2 linked regions of the Lonchura striata genome follow. Each later gene encodes a partner of the first gene's protein in a complex. Links are inferred from orthologs where the notes say so. Each region holds a gene or a part of one and is shown in the gene's direction. Other genes may lie near its edges. The genes, in order: NSMCE1 and NSMCE2.

Region 1 (7,059 bases):
TTTATGAATGAAGTGTTTAATCTAAAATGTTTTCTCCAAGTCTTATCACCAGTACCTTGATAATCTGAGTATCACCTCTTTAAAAAGAAATTTTAGCAAAGAACTCTGAGCACTGCTCCAAAAGATTGCAGATTCATTAAAATATTAATTATTTAAAAGTTGTAAAACACATACCTAATCATGATATAACCAGAACAACTTTGGAGAAGGAAAATAATGCAGCTTTTATGTCCCTAAGCATAGCAAAACTGTCTAGGTAAATTGAAAACAGATGAAATAATTAATTTCAGACTTAAAAATAGCAAGTGTCCCCAAGATGTTTTACCAATATAGTTACTTAATGTGTAAGACAAGGCTACCGGCTTTCATATCACTACAAATGGATATGATGCATTTAAAAGTCTGGTAAATTTGTAAGTGAAGTCATGCTAATATGCTTTTGGCTTTACTTTCAGTATAAAGAGGGATAAAATTTGTTCAGCAGCGACACAACCCTTTGGTTCCTTCCTCTCATGCTTTTGGAATTTTCTAACTTTCATATCTGGACAGAGTATTCTTGCTGCCTGCAAGTTTCAGCTGTTCTGTTTATACCTGTAGGGTTCCCAGGTAGTACACTAGTTTTTATTTCAAGGAGAGGAGAGAAGACTCCTTCAGCAGGTGAATGGTGTTCTGCATAAGATTGGTCAGATTATGAAGTAGAAAAGACCACTGAAAGGTATTTGTGGATGGTGGTTCAATACTCTCTTCCCCAAACCAACCATGCAGCAGAATTACATTACACATGTCTGACAGAGGTGAGTCAGTCTGTCTGAAAATATCCATCTTAGAAGTTAAGGGATAAGGACATTTATAGTAAAAATGTAGCGGACCCTGACTCAGGGAAGAAATGATGATGTCTGGCTCCAGATCAGAAGGCTGAAGGATAGCTTTATTAAAACTATATATATTACATTAATACACAATTTAAAGAGATACTATACTATTCTACATACTTATTTTTTACTCACCTATTTAACTACAAACTTGTGACTCTCTGCTGAGAGCCACAGCTGGATCCCATTGGTCACTGAACCCAAACAACTTTCACCAGAATCCAACCCAGCAATCACTGCAGGTAAAGATCTCCATACCATATTCCACATGGGGAAAACAAAGGAGCAGAGATGATTGTTTTCTCTTCTCTCTGTGCTTCTCCTGAGAGACAGAATTATGTCTCTGTCCAGAGAATGTGAATGTCACAGACATTGTTAGTCAAAATAGAAGATCAAAATGGCAACTCTTCTGTGACCTTCTCTGGGGCAGCTACTGCTCATCTAGTAATAAAGAACAAACTTGAAAGACAAATTTCTCATAAGAGCTTGAGAAAACTATTACTCAAGAGCTGAATTTTTTTCATATTCTGAGAAGACATGAAATGTGGCTAAGCACAGTAATACATTTTTTTTTTTAAAGAACACAAGCACCTTTGCTGTTGCTCAGAAGAAAAGGGCCAACTGCTCTGGCATTCAAAACAAAATCCTTCATTTCCCTTTTTCCTGGAATTCTCAAGAGAGAAAGCATTTACTTTCCACTGTTAGGTAATATTGCCACATGACTGGCGTTCCAAGAAACTCTTGGAACACTTAGAATTTTGGCGAAGAATCCTAAACCACGTAAGCATGTTAAGCAGATGGCAGACCAAAACCATCTTCTCATGGAAAAATGGATCTGCACATGTGGATGAAAATGGAATTAAGCCAGAACTTTAATAAAACTGCAAAAGGAGAAAGTTTTAAAATACCCACAGCTCTTCTGCCTGTTACCTCTTAAGTTTTTCATTATACCAGACAATGAAATACCAATCTTAAAAAAAAGTATGTAACACAAATAGACAATCCTAAAATTGCAGCCAACCTAGTAACTCTGATAAATTTGAGAAAAGTAAATTGTAAAGATATAAGTCACTTCCTCAAACTAGGAAAGAAATCTCTGTTGGTGTTAGAAGCAGATCTACATAGCCACTGGCACAAGCTACATACTTTGATCACTTAACCTTTCTGTTTCTTGAAAAAAATACTATATTATTAGAAATATTCACTATCAAGAAAAACGGTAGTAACTTTTGGTCTGGTCTTCTAAGGAAATTAGGGTCACATTCCATTAACAGCTATAATCTGCAAAATTGTTATGTGCAAAGAGTAACTCCTGCCCAAATCAAGAGGTCATATTAAACAAGAGTGCTTAATGCACCGTTGCTGCAAGTGTACAGATGAAGCATCATTCCCTGTTTAAAACTGCCTCTTTTTAAAACTGATGCGCAACTTGTCTTACTCTCTATAGAGTTTAAATCACTGACTATAGACGCTGAATAAAACGAGACAAGCGATACACAGCAAAGCAGAAGTTTCACCAATAGATTCTGCATCAAACCTTGACAAGAAATCCGTACAGAGCGTAATGCCTTGTGAGGAAAAACCGCTCCGTTCCGGGTGCTCAGCAAGAACCGGCCCGAAGCTCCGCAGGGCTCACGGGGGCGCAGCCCGAGCCCGGGCTGGCCCGGCCGGGAGCGGCTCCGCTCGCCAACGCGGGCCCGGGACATGCGCGGCTGCTGCGCCCACGGGCAGCACGTCCGGCAGGAACAGCGCTTCGGAGAACTACACCTTTCTGCGTAAAACTCTGTAAAACTCGCGTTTAACAGCCGCAAGGAAAGAGAAGCGATTCTGGCCGCGGGTTCCAGCCGGAGCCGCCGCACGGGACGGGGCCAGGGACATACGGCCGGCAGCTCCGGAGAGAGCACAGACCTTCCGCCCTTCCCAGAACCGGCGCGGAGGAAAACACAGACCACACAAACGCACGCCAAGCGCAAGTAACGAGAAGGAGCCGGTCCTGACACCAGGACGAAGGGGCCGCAGGACGTACCTTGTGTCTACCGGCCCCCGCTGGGAACCTGGGCACTCGGGACCCCGGACTCCGCGCTGCGCGGGGCGCGGCCCGCCGCCTTCCGCCCCCACACGCCGCCCGTCCTTCCGTCGGGTGAGGGCGGGGCGGGGCGGGGCGGGCCGGGCCGGGGCGGGGCGGAGCGGGCCCGGGGCGGGGCGGGGCGGGCCCGGGGCGGGGCGGGGCGGGGCCGGGCCGGGGCGGGGCGGGGCGGGGCGGAGCGGGCCCGGGGCGGGGCGGGGCGGGCCCGGGGCGGGCCCGGGGCCGGCGCGGGGCGGCGCGGGGCGGGGCGGGGCGGGGCCTTCCGCCTTCCGCCCCCACACGCCGCCCGTCCTTCCGTCCGGCGCGGGCGGGCCCGGCGCGGGGCGCGCGCAGCCGTCGCTGAGCCGGCGGGCGTGGGCAGGTGCGGGGGTCGCTGAGCGGTGGCACTGCGGTGGGAGCCCCGGAGAGCCCCGGTGGGTCCCGGTGGGGCCGCGGGCCAGCGGGCCGGGCGGCTTTCCGTGGCACTGCCTCCGTGGGCTGCGGCTGGGCCGAGGCCGCGTGGGCCGTGAAGCGGCGAGGTCAGAGCTCAGCCAGAAGCGGGCAGTCGGCCGGTGCAGCGGTCAGGGAATTTCCTGAGCTGCCTTTAAGTACTTCAGGCGTTCTTCGAAACCTGTAGAGGATTGTTTTTCTGTGCAAAGTCACCCGCTCTGACTGACTGTGCTCAGATCAGGCTGTGTGGGGAGCAGGAGCTTTGTCTAAGGGGGAATGACAGGCGGTGTTGTGTTTGTCACCCAGCGCTGTTCTTTTCAGGTTTGCAAATCCCGCTGGGGAGTGAGTGTAAGGTTACTGGGGCGTTGTAGCGGGGAGTGGGCCGCGGGCCGCTCTCCTGCTCCAGTTCCTGGCGAGTCAAAGCGGCCCGATACAGTTCGCTCAGCAACATGCTGAGCAGCTTCGATGAAAACCGCGCCGCATAGAGAAGATCGAGGTCGAAGTTTAGAGGCTCAGTGACCACCAGGGGTGCCTAAAGACCCTCCAGGAGCACCGTCTGAGACTAACTGTGCAGACTCAAGCGGCTTCTGTGTGTATAACCTTGAGCCAATTATGCACGTTAAGCAGCAGTCATTCCCCTGTGTATCCAGTGCTGCAGTAGAGTATTCCTTGCTTGTTAATACTACATTGGTCTTAAGAAGAAGTTTTATTCTCGATTTTGGGTGACAACGACACAATGCCTATGTTGTTTTTTCTGGAGCTAAAACTAGTTGGACTTCATCTCTTCCACCCTTCCAGAACCTCAGAGCTGGTCACCCTCTGCATTCTGAGGACAACCTTGGGATCTGCTTTTTTTTGCCCTCATTCAATGTAATAGATTTTAATTGAAATCTTGTGTATACTTGGACTGTTGTATTCTCAATTTGCATTAACATGTGCATTAATTCCAGCTTAAACCTCCTGCAGCACTTGAAGCCTGGTGAAACACTGTGATGGCAGCTCAGATGACCAATGCTCATCGACGGTTCTTGCAGGCTCTGATGTCTAATGGGATAACAGAAGGATCAGAGGCCAAAAAATTACACCAGCACTGCTGTGAAACTGACAAAGGTGTGTCTGTCTTAGTGATGAAAGAACTGGGATTTTTTCCTGGTGCATCTTGAAAACAATTTGATTTCTGAAGGGCATGCACCAGCTAAAAAAAGTTTAAGAACTGTAAAGATATGAGTCTTCCCTTTCTTTCCTGAAAGATAAAATAATATAGCAACAAGCAAACTAATTTCTAATCAGGCCAGATTTGTATATAGTACTTCTTATTTTATCAAGGTTGTTGTTTATAGGTTATACATATAAATGATTTTCAAAAAATAATTTTTGACACTGGATATACTTCACTATAGTGAATGCTTTTATGTAAATGCACTTCAGTTATTTCTCCCCCGTGTTGTGGGAGAAGTGACTGCTGCAAAAACATTTCTGTGAGGATGAGATGAGGTTTCCTGCTGAATTGCTGTGCTTTTTTTCCCATCTCACCTGCACTGTATTGTCCATTCCAAGTCCTGGAAGCTGTGTTCCTACCAGGCTTAGGAGTGTCCCTGTGCCATGTCTACTCACTCTGCAGGGACTCTTCTGATTTTCTGTGAATTTGTACCCAAAGATGTAAGGTCAGAATGAAGTAGTCTATTTGTACATCTCCTGAGTCAGGAACTGTAACTTGACCTACTTCTTAAATGCTAAAATTGTGAAGTGTAACTTCGGGTGTTCTCTAACCCCTGTCCATTTTTTATGGAGAATATTTATCCCTTTTTTTTCCACATAAGATCTACTCAAGCAGCCACTTAACATTAAAATGTAACATTAAAGTGTTAAAACTGTTGTACAAAAGAGTATTCTGGTACCTTTCATCTCTTACCCTCTCTCACTAAAGCTACCTGGCTGCTGTGTGCAGTGTTTCCTGCTGACAGGGGCCAAGCAGGTGGTAAAATTATGCTTAATTTTGTACTTACTTTAGTAATGTTCTTGCTGTTCGTTGACTTTGTTCACTGAAGGAATCTTGTATATGAGAATCAGGAACTCCTGAGAGGAGCATCCTATGAGTGCTGTGCAGTTTGGGAGTGAGACCTTGCCCCAGTGCTCTTACATGAGCGAGGGACTCCTCTGACTGAGAACAGGATTAATTTCATGATAACTGGTTGGATTTTTAAGACATGAATCATTTATCTAAAATTATGAGCTGTTACTTTGTGGCAGCAGCTCTCTGATCACAGAGAGCAACAGGCAACTTTCCCAGAATGATGCCTGGGAAAGGCTGTGATAAGATCAGAGAAAAGAATGAGAAACAATTCTTATCTTAACTTGCTGCACCTGGTATTGTGAGTATGTGGAATGTGTTGTGGAGATTTATTTACCAAAGGGTGGTTTCTTAATTAGCCAGTAGTGATGGTGTTTTAATTAGAGGGCCAATTAGGTCTACCTGTAGTGAACTATAGTATCAAAAAAGCAATAGGTTTCTTGATAAAGAAACCATCAGCCTTCTGTAAATGCATGGAGTCTGTGTAACTTATTACGTGGCCAGGGGCCTGCTGTAACATTACTTAGCTCTGGAGTTTATTTTAGCCTGATGAAGGCAAGCAGGAGTGTTGCCACTGACAAAGTCTTGTTTTGGGCAGATGTGAGGGTTGTGCTGGTGGTGTGCAGGCATAAACCATTGTATACTCTTCCATAGAATGACTGAAAGTCCATTCTAATTATGTCTATTATAAAACTGCTGCTAGTATTTGCTTGATTTGTAGAAAACTACTCAAGATATTTCTTGTGTTTCTACAACACTAGAATTTTAGGTTTTCTGATATGTAATTTGAGCACTTATGTGCCATTAATTTGTGAAACAGAGCATACAGAAACAAGAAATCCCTTGTGTATAAAGGAATTCAAGTCAGTGTATTTTTCTATTGTGCATAATATTTTTCCCAATCATATTTTATTTTCAGTTCAGCTTAGTTCAGGTCACTGTAATTACTGAATTAGTGCTATGGCTTCCCTGCAACAAGGCAGACTTTCTGCACTCTGTCAACTGATTTTTAAGGAGCTGAGCATCTCTGAAGGCCACGAGACAGCAGCGCAAGGAAATGATATGTCTGCTAAATAGAACAGTTTGAATTCATGTTTGAATTCTGCCTCAGTTTTAGCACTCTTACCTGGGAAAAAAATGCTTCACATAAAAAGATCTGCCTGATGTGTGTGTAGTTGTTTGACTTTTCTCTGTATGTTTTTTCTCTGTATGACTTTGTTCATTCATTTTCAGTTTACTATGCACACGATAAACTGGACGATTTCATCAGCACTATTAACAGCCACCTGCAGCCTTTGTTTATGCAGATCCGGAAAGGAATATCAGAAGATGATGGGAGAGCACATTATGCTGTAGTAGGTACCTGCTGTGCTGTGTTCACATGGGGCTGGCAGTGGCTGCAGGAGCTGCTGGGAGGATAAACTGTCACAGCCCAGGTGTATGGGAATAGGACATGGCAGCAAGGATGACAGCAGTGTTGGAGTTACTTGGCATAAACATTGCTTAAGTGCTGAAGTGAGATTTCTTTTCCACAGGAGACTTTCTTTCCTGAGACAGATTTTTAAACTAGAAAACACAGAGAGCTGTCCAACATCAGTTTT
Region 2 (7,059 bases), on another chromosome or scaffold:
ATGACTTTAAATTGATTTATCCAATGGAAAAGAATAGTCAATGCTTTCAGTAAAGCCCCAGTATATCTGAAGGCACTGGGTGCTTTCTATAGTGCTAACTATCTCACTGATGGAATTTTTTTCCTTTACCCATTTCTTCTGGTTGACTTCTCAGATAGAAACCACAACATTGAGGGCTCAGAAAGCGTAGTATCTTCTCATATATTCAAACTGCTTCAAAATATTAGACATGTTTTTTCCACACTCTACATGTGTAGACAGTACTTGTCTCCTGAATTAATGCAGACACTTTGTCATTAACAATCATGGGGGAAAAAGATTTGGGATGAAGAACCTGACTTCCTTAAAGCAATAATACAACTTTTCTAGCCCTTTACCACTGTCGTATTTCTCATAAGCACCACGCAGTATTAGCATCACCAACTAAAGGAAAATAATGCTAAAGTTTAATTGGAAGTACTATTAAAATGCAATTGAAAATATCCAGCTGACAATTTGAGTTTTTAAAAATACTCTTTGCTTCTCTTTCTGTGCAAAATATCTACATAAAACAAAGGATAAAAACAGGTGCCAAACTGCCTATGAAGTTAAAATGGACAAAGTAACTAGTCTCAACTTTTCAAATCTCAAATCTTTCCTCAGAAGTAATTCTAAGAATTGTGAATACAGAAGGGGTGCATTTGCAGTAAAAATATCTGCAAATTCTCTAATCTTTGCTTTAACAGTATGACTTCTATGGATTTATTTGATTTTAATGATGAAAAACAGCACACTTATGCTTTCTTAACATTCAAATTTACTGAGGCTTTAAGGATTACTGTATTTCTTACCAATTACAGCTATCTGCTTTTAGACTTTTAAGTAATTTGTGCAAAAAAAAAAAAAAAAAATTCTACCAAACACCTAGATCTAAAGGTAACTGTGAAATCATTTGTGCTCTGGATTTTCAGTATCCAAACCTCATGGTGCCTGAAATTTACAACTCCTACTACAATCAAATTGACTTAAAAGTGCCTCCCTTGCTTTATTATTAACATTTCTTGTATTGGACAGTCCAAATAAAGTCAGATTAGACAGTCTCTGTTGTTCCTTCTTAATCATGGTGGAAAACGACAGAGGGAATTTTGTATTAAAAGCTTAATTCTGAAAGAGAAATAAGGGCTTTCCATGGACACTTCTCCTTGACTTATTTATTTATTTATTCAGTGCATGTGACAAGTCCAGAGGAAGAACAATCACAGCACTGTCAGACAGGAAAGCAGAAAGCAGTTTTCATGGCTGCAAAGAATAAGCTACAGATTAACAGAAGAAAGATGGGCATGCTGCCCACGGCACTGCTCTGAAGGGAAACAAACAACCATGCAGCCTCAGAACCTGCTGGAGGAAGTTTAATTTAGTGGTCCTGCAGGAATTACTACCACTACCACTACTACCACTACTACTAGTGCCACTACTACTACCTCCCCAGAATCCAAGACTCATGTCTTATATAATTGATATCTATCAAAATTCACAGCCAGATGACACATCAAACATTTTGGAAGATGTAATAGTAATAAACACAATAGTCAGGAATGGCTGTATCACAAGCTAAAACATCCTCATGTTGGACAGCAATGCTTTAAGGAGAAGTTTAACAATAAAAGGATTTACCTTGAAATAACTGAAATCAAATATGATATCTCCATACTTCTGCTGATCAGCCTTGTCCTTTAGTCTGAAAACACCAGGAATAAATTCGGAAAGTCTCAGAAGTTCTGCAATGATGGCATTTCCACAGGAAACAATCCGAAGAATTGCCTGACCACAGAGATTGTTTTCAGCCAGAAAATCCACCATTGTGGAGCTCAGTGTGACAGAGCAGCAGAAGTCCTGCAGTCTGATTCTGATCCTTACTCTTTAGGTTACTGGAAGCAGAAAGCCTGATGAAGAGACCAGCCACGCCATTAATAACCTGTAAAAACAAACCCACACACATCCAGCGTGGTTTATATTCATGTTTCTGATAATTTAATTTGTGGATATTTAAGCATACTCTCCAATCTTTCAAATTATGAAATCTAAATTATCCACAGCTTTTGAAATGAAAAAATGCACAGAATTCATTTTCAGCACGTACACTTAGTTTGAGAAGTGAACTGTTTGAGCAGGCAGGGGAAGTGTGATCTTTTGAAGAACAGTTGAAGAACACTATTAAAAAATGAAACAGTCACAAATAGTGAAGCAATTATGACCAGGCGAGGAGATTGGGCCCAAGGAAAGCAAAGTCACTTCACAAAATGTGTTTTTAAGATTCACTTTAAAAAGTCAACCGAAGTGATCATAAGGGCTTTAGCAATAAGGAAAACTTTCATAGCAAATGGAAATGACAGAGCTCCGTTCATTATTTATTGCTAAAGGACGAGCTTCCATGCTGTGCTTGCATTTCCTGCTCAGTTTTACTCGTTCACGCGTCTCCTGCGGGACACGGCGTGCAGCGCCAAAAATAAGCGTCTGTGCTTCAAAAACACCTATGGAAAATTATGACCAGGCTTGACTTTTCACCAAACACTTTCTGGAGCATTACGATAATTTGACAGTGCGCTGTCCCAAGGCAGTTCTGACCCAGAAGGAGCGGCCGGAGCCCCCCCAGGTGCCCAGTGCCGCCGCAGGCTGCGCTCCGCAGGGCGCACAGCGGCTCCAGGGCGGCAGCGGCCGGACGGGCTCCGAACCCGCTCCCGTCCCGTTCTGTCCCGTCCCGTCCCGTTCTGTCCCGTCCCGTCCCGTTCTGTCCCGTCCCGTCCCGTTCTGTCCCGTCCCGTCCCGTCCCGCTCCGCCACCGCCGAACTCACAGTCTGCGCTCAGGCGGCCCCGCTCCCTCGGCGGCTCCCGCCGGCACCCACCCCGCCCGCCCCGCCCGGGAGCGCCAGCGGGCAGGGACGGCTGCGGGCTCAGGAGGATGGAGGGAGGGTGGGAAGGACGGGAGGGAGGCGGCGGCGCTCCCTGTGTCGTAGCCGAGCCCTCCCGTCACATGACGGCGCCGGCTGATGAGGCGGTTCCGCCCGCCCCGGTGCCGGCGCTGCCCGCCTGCGGTTGCTGCGGGAGGCGGCGCGGGGCCGCGCCGGGACCGCTGCGCTGCCGGGCTGCGGGACGAGGTGAGCAGCGCCGCCGCCGAGGGGGGCTGCCCCGCCGGCCCCGTCCCCTCCGCGGGCTCGGGCAGCGCTCCGGGGCGGCGGCGGGCGGGTGCGGGGCCGTGTGTCCGTGTGGGACTGCCCGGCCTGCCCTGGCCGGCGGCCGGCCCTGGCCGGGGAGGCGGCCAGAGGCCCTGGGAGCCGGAGCCCTGCTCGGCGAGCTTGCTCCCCGCCCGGCCGTCTCCCTGTGGGCGCTCATCACCGAGTGTGCCCGGGCTGGACACTGATCCTGCTGCTCGGAGAGCACTTGGCACCTGTGGAGCTGCTGTTACAGAAGCAAATAATACTTTTTTCTTACCTCTGGTTCATACTCGTTGAAGAATTCTATAGAATACTATATAATAATAGAAATTGAGACATTGAAGAATAGAAAGTTTAGGTAATTTCCTCAAATATTTAAAATAGCGAACGGAATAGAAACTGTAGGGTTATCTTGTTCTTTATCCTGTCTGGACCATTTCATCACTTCCTGAAAGAAAAAAAAAGTGTCCTCGATAGTCTCCCATTCATCACGGAGTTTGCTGGTTGTGTTTTCCAGAAGTGAAGGGGCTGGAGGTTGCACATGATAAGTGCTTTGATGCGCCCACTGAAGACCTTCCTGCCGAAAAGAGTGCGGTAGAAACACTGCAGTGAAACCAGTTACAGAGAGGAATGTGCCCCTCCCTTGAAAGGTAGAATGGACAGCTCCACTGAGCTGAGGAATTCACTTAGTTCAAGAGTGAAATCTTTGCCTTGGGATCTGTAGGAGACTTGAGGAACAGTTGACCGGCTCAAAAGAGCCAGCTGGGAAGTGGTGGGGGTACAGGATCTGTAAGCCCTGAAGTGGCAGAGCACAGAAGATATAAGCAAAGCAACACGTGTGCCAAACATGCTCTGCTGCCAGGGGTTTAGAAGTTGCTGAGACAATGCTGGATCCTGGGGTGATGGCCATTTACTTTTCTCTCCCCATTTTTTTTTTTTCTTTCTTTCTCTGGTTTTCTGGCATACTCTTCTCAAAATATGTAAGTCAGACTGGAAACTTCCAGTTTCTTCTTGTGTCTGGAGAAGTTAAAAGTTCGCTGAGCTAAAGTTTGGGAAGTACTTGATTTTTGTCTGGATGTTTTAAAATTTGCCAAGTACCCTATTCTACTTGAACGTTCCAAAGTTTGGAAATAAAAGTTGTTATTGAGTCTCCTGGTAATTTGGTTGTTTTTCCCATGCACTGCCCAGGGTATATCCCAATGCCTTCCTCTGAACCCATCAAGTAGGCTGGGGCATTATAGGATTGTAACAAGTTTCTAAGAAAAATAGCCTTTTATTAAAAAAAAAAAAAAAAAAAAAAAAAAAAAAAAAGGAAAATTAATCTAAAAGAAGTTACTTTCCAAAAGACAGATTGAGATTAACCTACCATGCAATGATATGATTTAATGTCATAACCATAACTTCTGCTCCTGTGTAATTTGCTCATGAGAACAAAGAGCCTTTTTAACTTTTCACTGTTGTTTGTATCTTTTTTTCAGATTCCTGCTTTCACAGTGCATATCTGTGAAATTTCCAAAAGAACAGCAGGTTTTCTCAGTGAGATTTGCCAAGTTCAAGAAGGGAATTAGGCTCTCTTTGTTAACTTTGATACACAAAATGGGCTCAGAAAGATAAAGCTGCTAACATGATTTTATGTGACTATTCCATAGTGTACGTTTGGATCACAGAGGTTCTATACAAACAGTCTTGCTAAGATGGCAAACAAGTACCTTAAAAAAAAGTTAAATAATATACTAGCTGAAGGAATTTGTTATTAAATCTTCAAGAGCATCCTTTTTCTTTACTTTCAGGGAGTTCTATAAGGAACCTTTTCCTTGTCTTCTGTTGTCAGTTTGACAGCCTCTAAAGACCTCTAATGATATCAGTCACAGTCTTCTGTCAGGAAGAGCATGAGCTGACATAACAAGAGCTGTTGAAGCCTGCTGCATCGGTGGAAAGATGCACCTTTAGAAGGGGATAGAGAGGAATAAAAATTTCCATGTAATTAAGAAGTTAAATTTGTTGTGAGGTTGAACTGTTGTTAAAATGTTGCTGGAAGCACATGACCTAAAGATGGTGTACTAAAAGATAGTATTGACTGGCCAAGCACATTTTATAAATGTAAAAAAGGAAAATGATTGGAAATAAACATTAAGAGACAGCAGGTCTCAGTCTGTATTGTGAGGAATATGGCAATGTTCAGGTTAGGGTGAGCACAAGGTGTAGTTCTGGAGTCTCAGGGAAAGCAGTGGAGAGAGATACAGCTTAGGTATACAAAGCTTGGGAAAAGCACTATACTTTCTGTTAACATGTTTTCCAGATTGCTGTTGGATTATAGCCTATTAAAGGCTGTTATTGATAGAACAACTCTTCCCCCTCTGGTATACCCCAAATTTGTTTGTGGATTCTACTCTCTATCTCCCCCAATGGCATCTCAATATAGTCCTTGAACATACTAGTTATTCTTTACATGGAAAAATGCAATACTTCTGTCTATCTAAGAGTTCTGCTTTGCTGTATCTATTTTTCTTTTTTTTATTTCTTTTTTTTTTTTTTTTGGTGTATCTAAAGCTGATGCAAAATTTTTCTAGTCTGCAACTTGAAGTATAAAATTCTGCATACCAGGTTCATGTTACTCATGGTAGCTACATGTCTGAGCGGGTTATGGCAAAGGATGAAGAAGGAAGAGAAGAAAATGAGGATTTTTGAGAAGAAACCAATGGATGTGAGCAGTGTGGATAGGCACAGCATAGGCAAAAAGACTTGAAGGTTCTAATAATGACAGAGCAGCTAATCCCCACAAGGGTGTAGGCTCTGGGTGTGTATTGCAGATCCAGAGGGTGGTAAAGAAGATAAACAATGGTACCTGTGTGGCTTTATTTTGTGGTAATGGAAGATGGGTACCAAAAGTTTGTAGCATCTTTGGCAGAAGTAGGCAGCATTTTTAAGGTGGGCTTTTATTTGAAAATTATGCTAGATGTTTTACTCTTAAGTACGTTCTTAGTAGAGTGACAATTTGTTAGATTATTTTTTCCAAAGGTCAACTGCTGATGAAACTAAATTGAATGTGAGAAATTGTATTTCTTCCTAGCCTAATTGATTATATGGCTAGATAACCCAGACAAGTTTTTGGGCATATGGGCTTTTTTGGATCTTCTTTTGGATCTGAAATAGAGCAGTAGTTTTCAAGCAGACATAATTGTGGACTTTGAACTTCACTGTGGTTTAGCAATAGAAATGAGCAGAGGAAAACTCTGAGTTGCTTGTAGTGGTGTAGTTTTGCTTAATACTGAATAGGAGGTGAATTGAAAACCTGCAATGAATTTCACTGAAATTATCAACATCTTGGGAGCTAAGTTTTCATCCCTGCTCCCTAATGCTTCAGTGATTCTGTCGACAGTGCTTTATGTTTTAGCTATCTATTAGAACTTACGTTTTCTCTCCCAAATTCTTTGTGTGCAGACTGCTTTTAATTTGTTCTTCCTGTTATTTATAGAGTAACAATTTCAAGATGTCAGATGGTCCAAGAGTCTCGTTCAATGCAATAGATTCTGCTCTTTCTTCTTTGAAAAACTGCCAGACCTTCATCAAGTCTGGAATGGATGTGACTACTCAGGTTGCCCTTGACCTTGTGGAAAGTTTCAGTAAGTATATTCTCTCTTGTATTGCATCCTGAATCTGACAGATTAGTCCCAGCCCTATGTATTTTGACTTAATTACTGTTAATATCAATCTTTATTATAGCTCTTCTGGCTTGGGCAGGATGTTTTCATTACAATCATTTCACTTAAATGAAAGATTTCATTTAAAAGATAAATTCAGTGAAAATGTAAATACCCGGCAAATGTTGTCCTTGCTTTTGTGACAGCCAAGACTAATTGTGTTCCAG

What was found.
Region 2: NSMCE1 (region 1) and NSMCE2 share a complex: the UniProt entries of both Homo sapiens proteins name them as parts of the SMC5-SMC6 complex. The link is inferred for Lonchura striata from reciprocal best matches to the Homo sapiens genes NSMCE1 and NSMCE2.

Annotation. Positions count from the first base shown.
Region 1 is NC_134618.1:17,483,156-17,490,214, reverse strand, and holds the start of NSMCE1 (non-structural maintenance of chromosomes element 1 homolog), read left to right. Parts: upstream 1-3,213; 5' UTR 3,214-3,319; exon of another isoform or gene 3,320-3,371; intron 3,372-3,492; exon of another isoform or gene 3,493-4,257; intron 4,258-4,337; 5' UTR 4,338-4,379; coding exon 4,380-4,497; intron 4,498-6,691; coding exon 6,692-6,813; intron 6,814-7,059. UniProt on the Homo sapiens protein: RING-type zinc finger-containing E3 ubiquitin ligase that assembles with melanoma antigen protein (MAGE) to catalyze the direct transfer of ubiquitin from E2 ubiquitin-conjugating enzyme to a specific substrate.
Region 2 is NC_134603.1:11,865,741-11,872,799, reverse strand, and holds the start of NSMCE2 (E3 SUMO-protein ligase NSE2), read left to right. Parts: upstream 1-3,011; 5' UTR 3,012-3,026; coding exon 3,027-3,134; intron 3,135-6,666; coding exon 6,667-6,814; intron 6,815-7,059. Other genes in the region: WASHC5 (WASH complex subunit 5), read right to left, coding at 1,654-1,839. UniProt on the Homo sapiens protein: E3 SUMO-protein ligase component of the SMC5-SMC6 complex, a complex involved in DNA double-strand break repair by homologous recombination. Is not be required for the stability of the complex.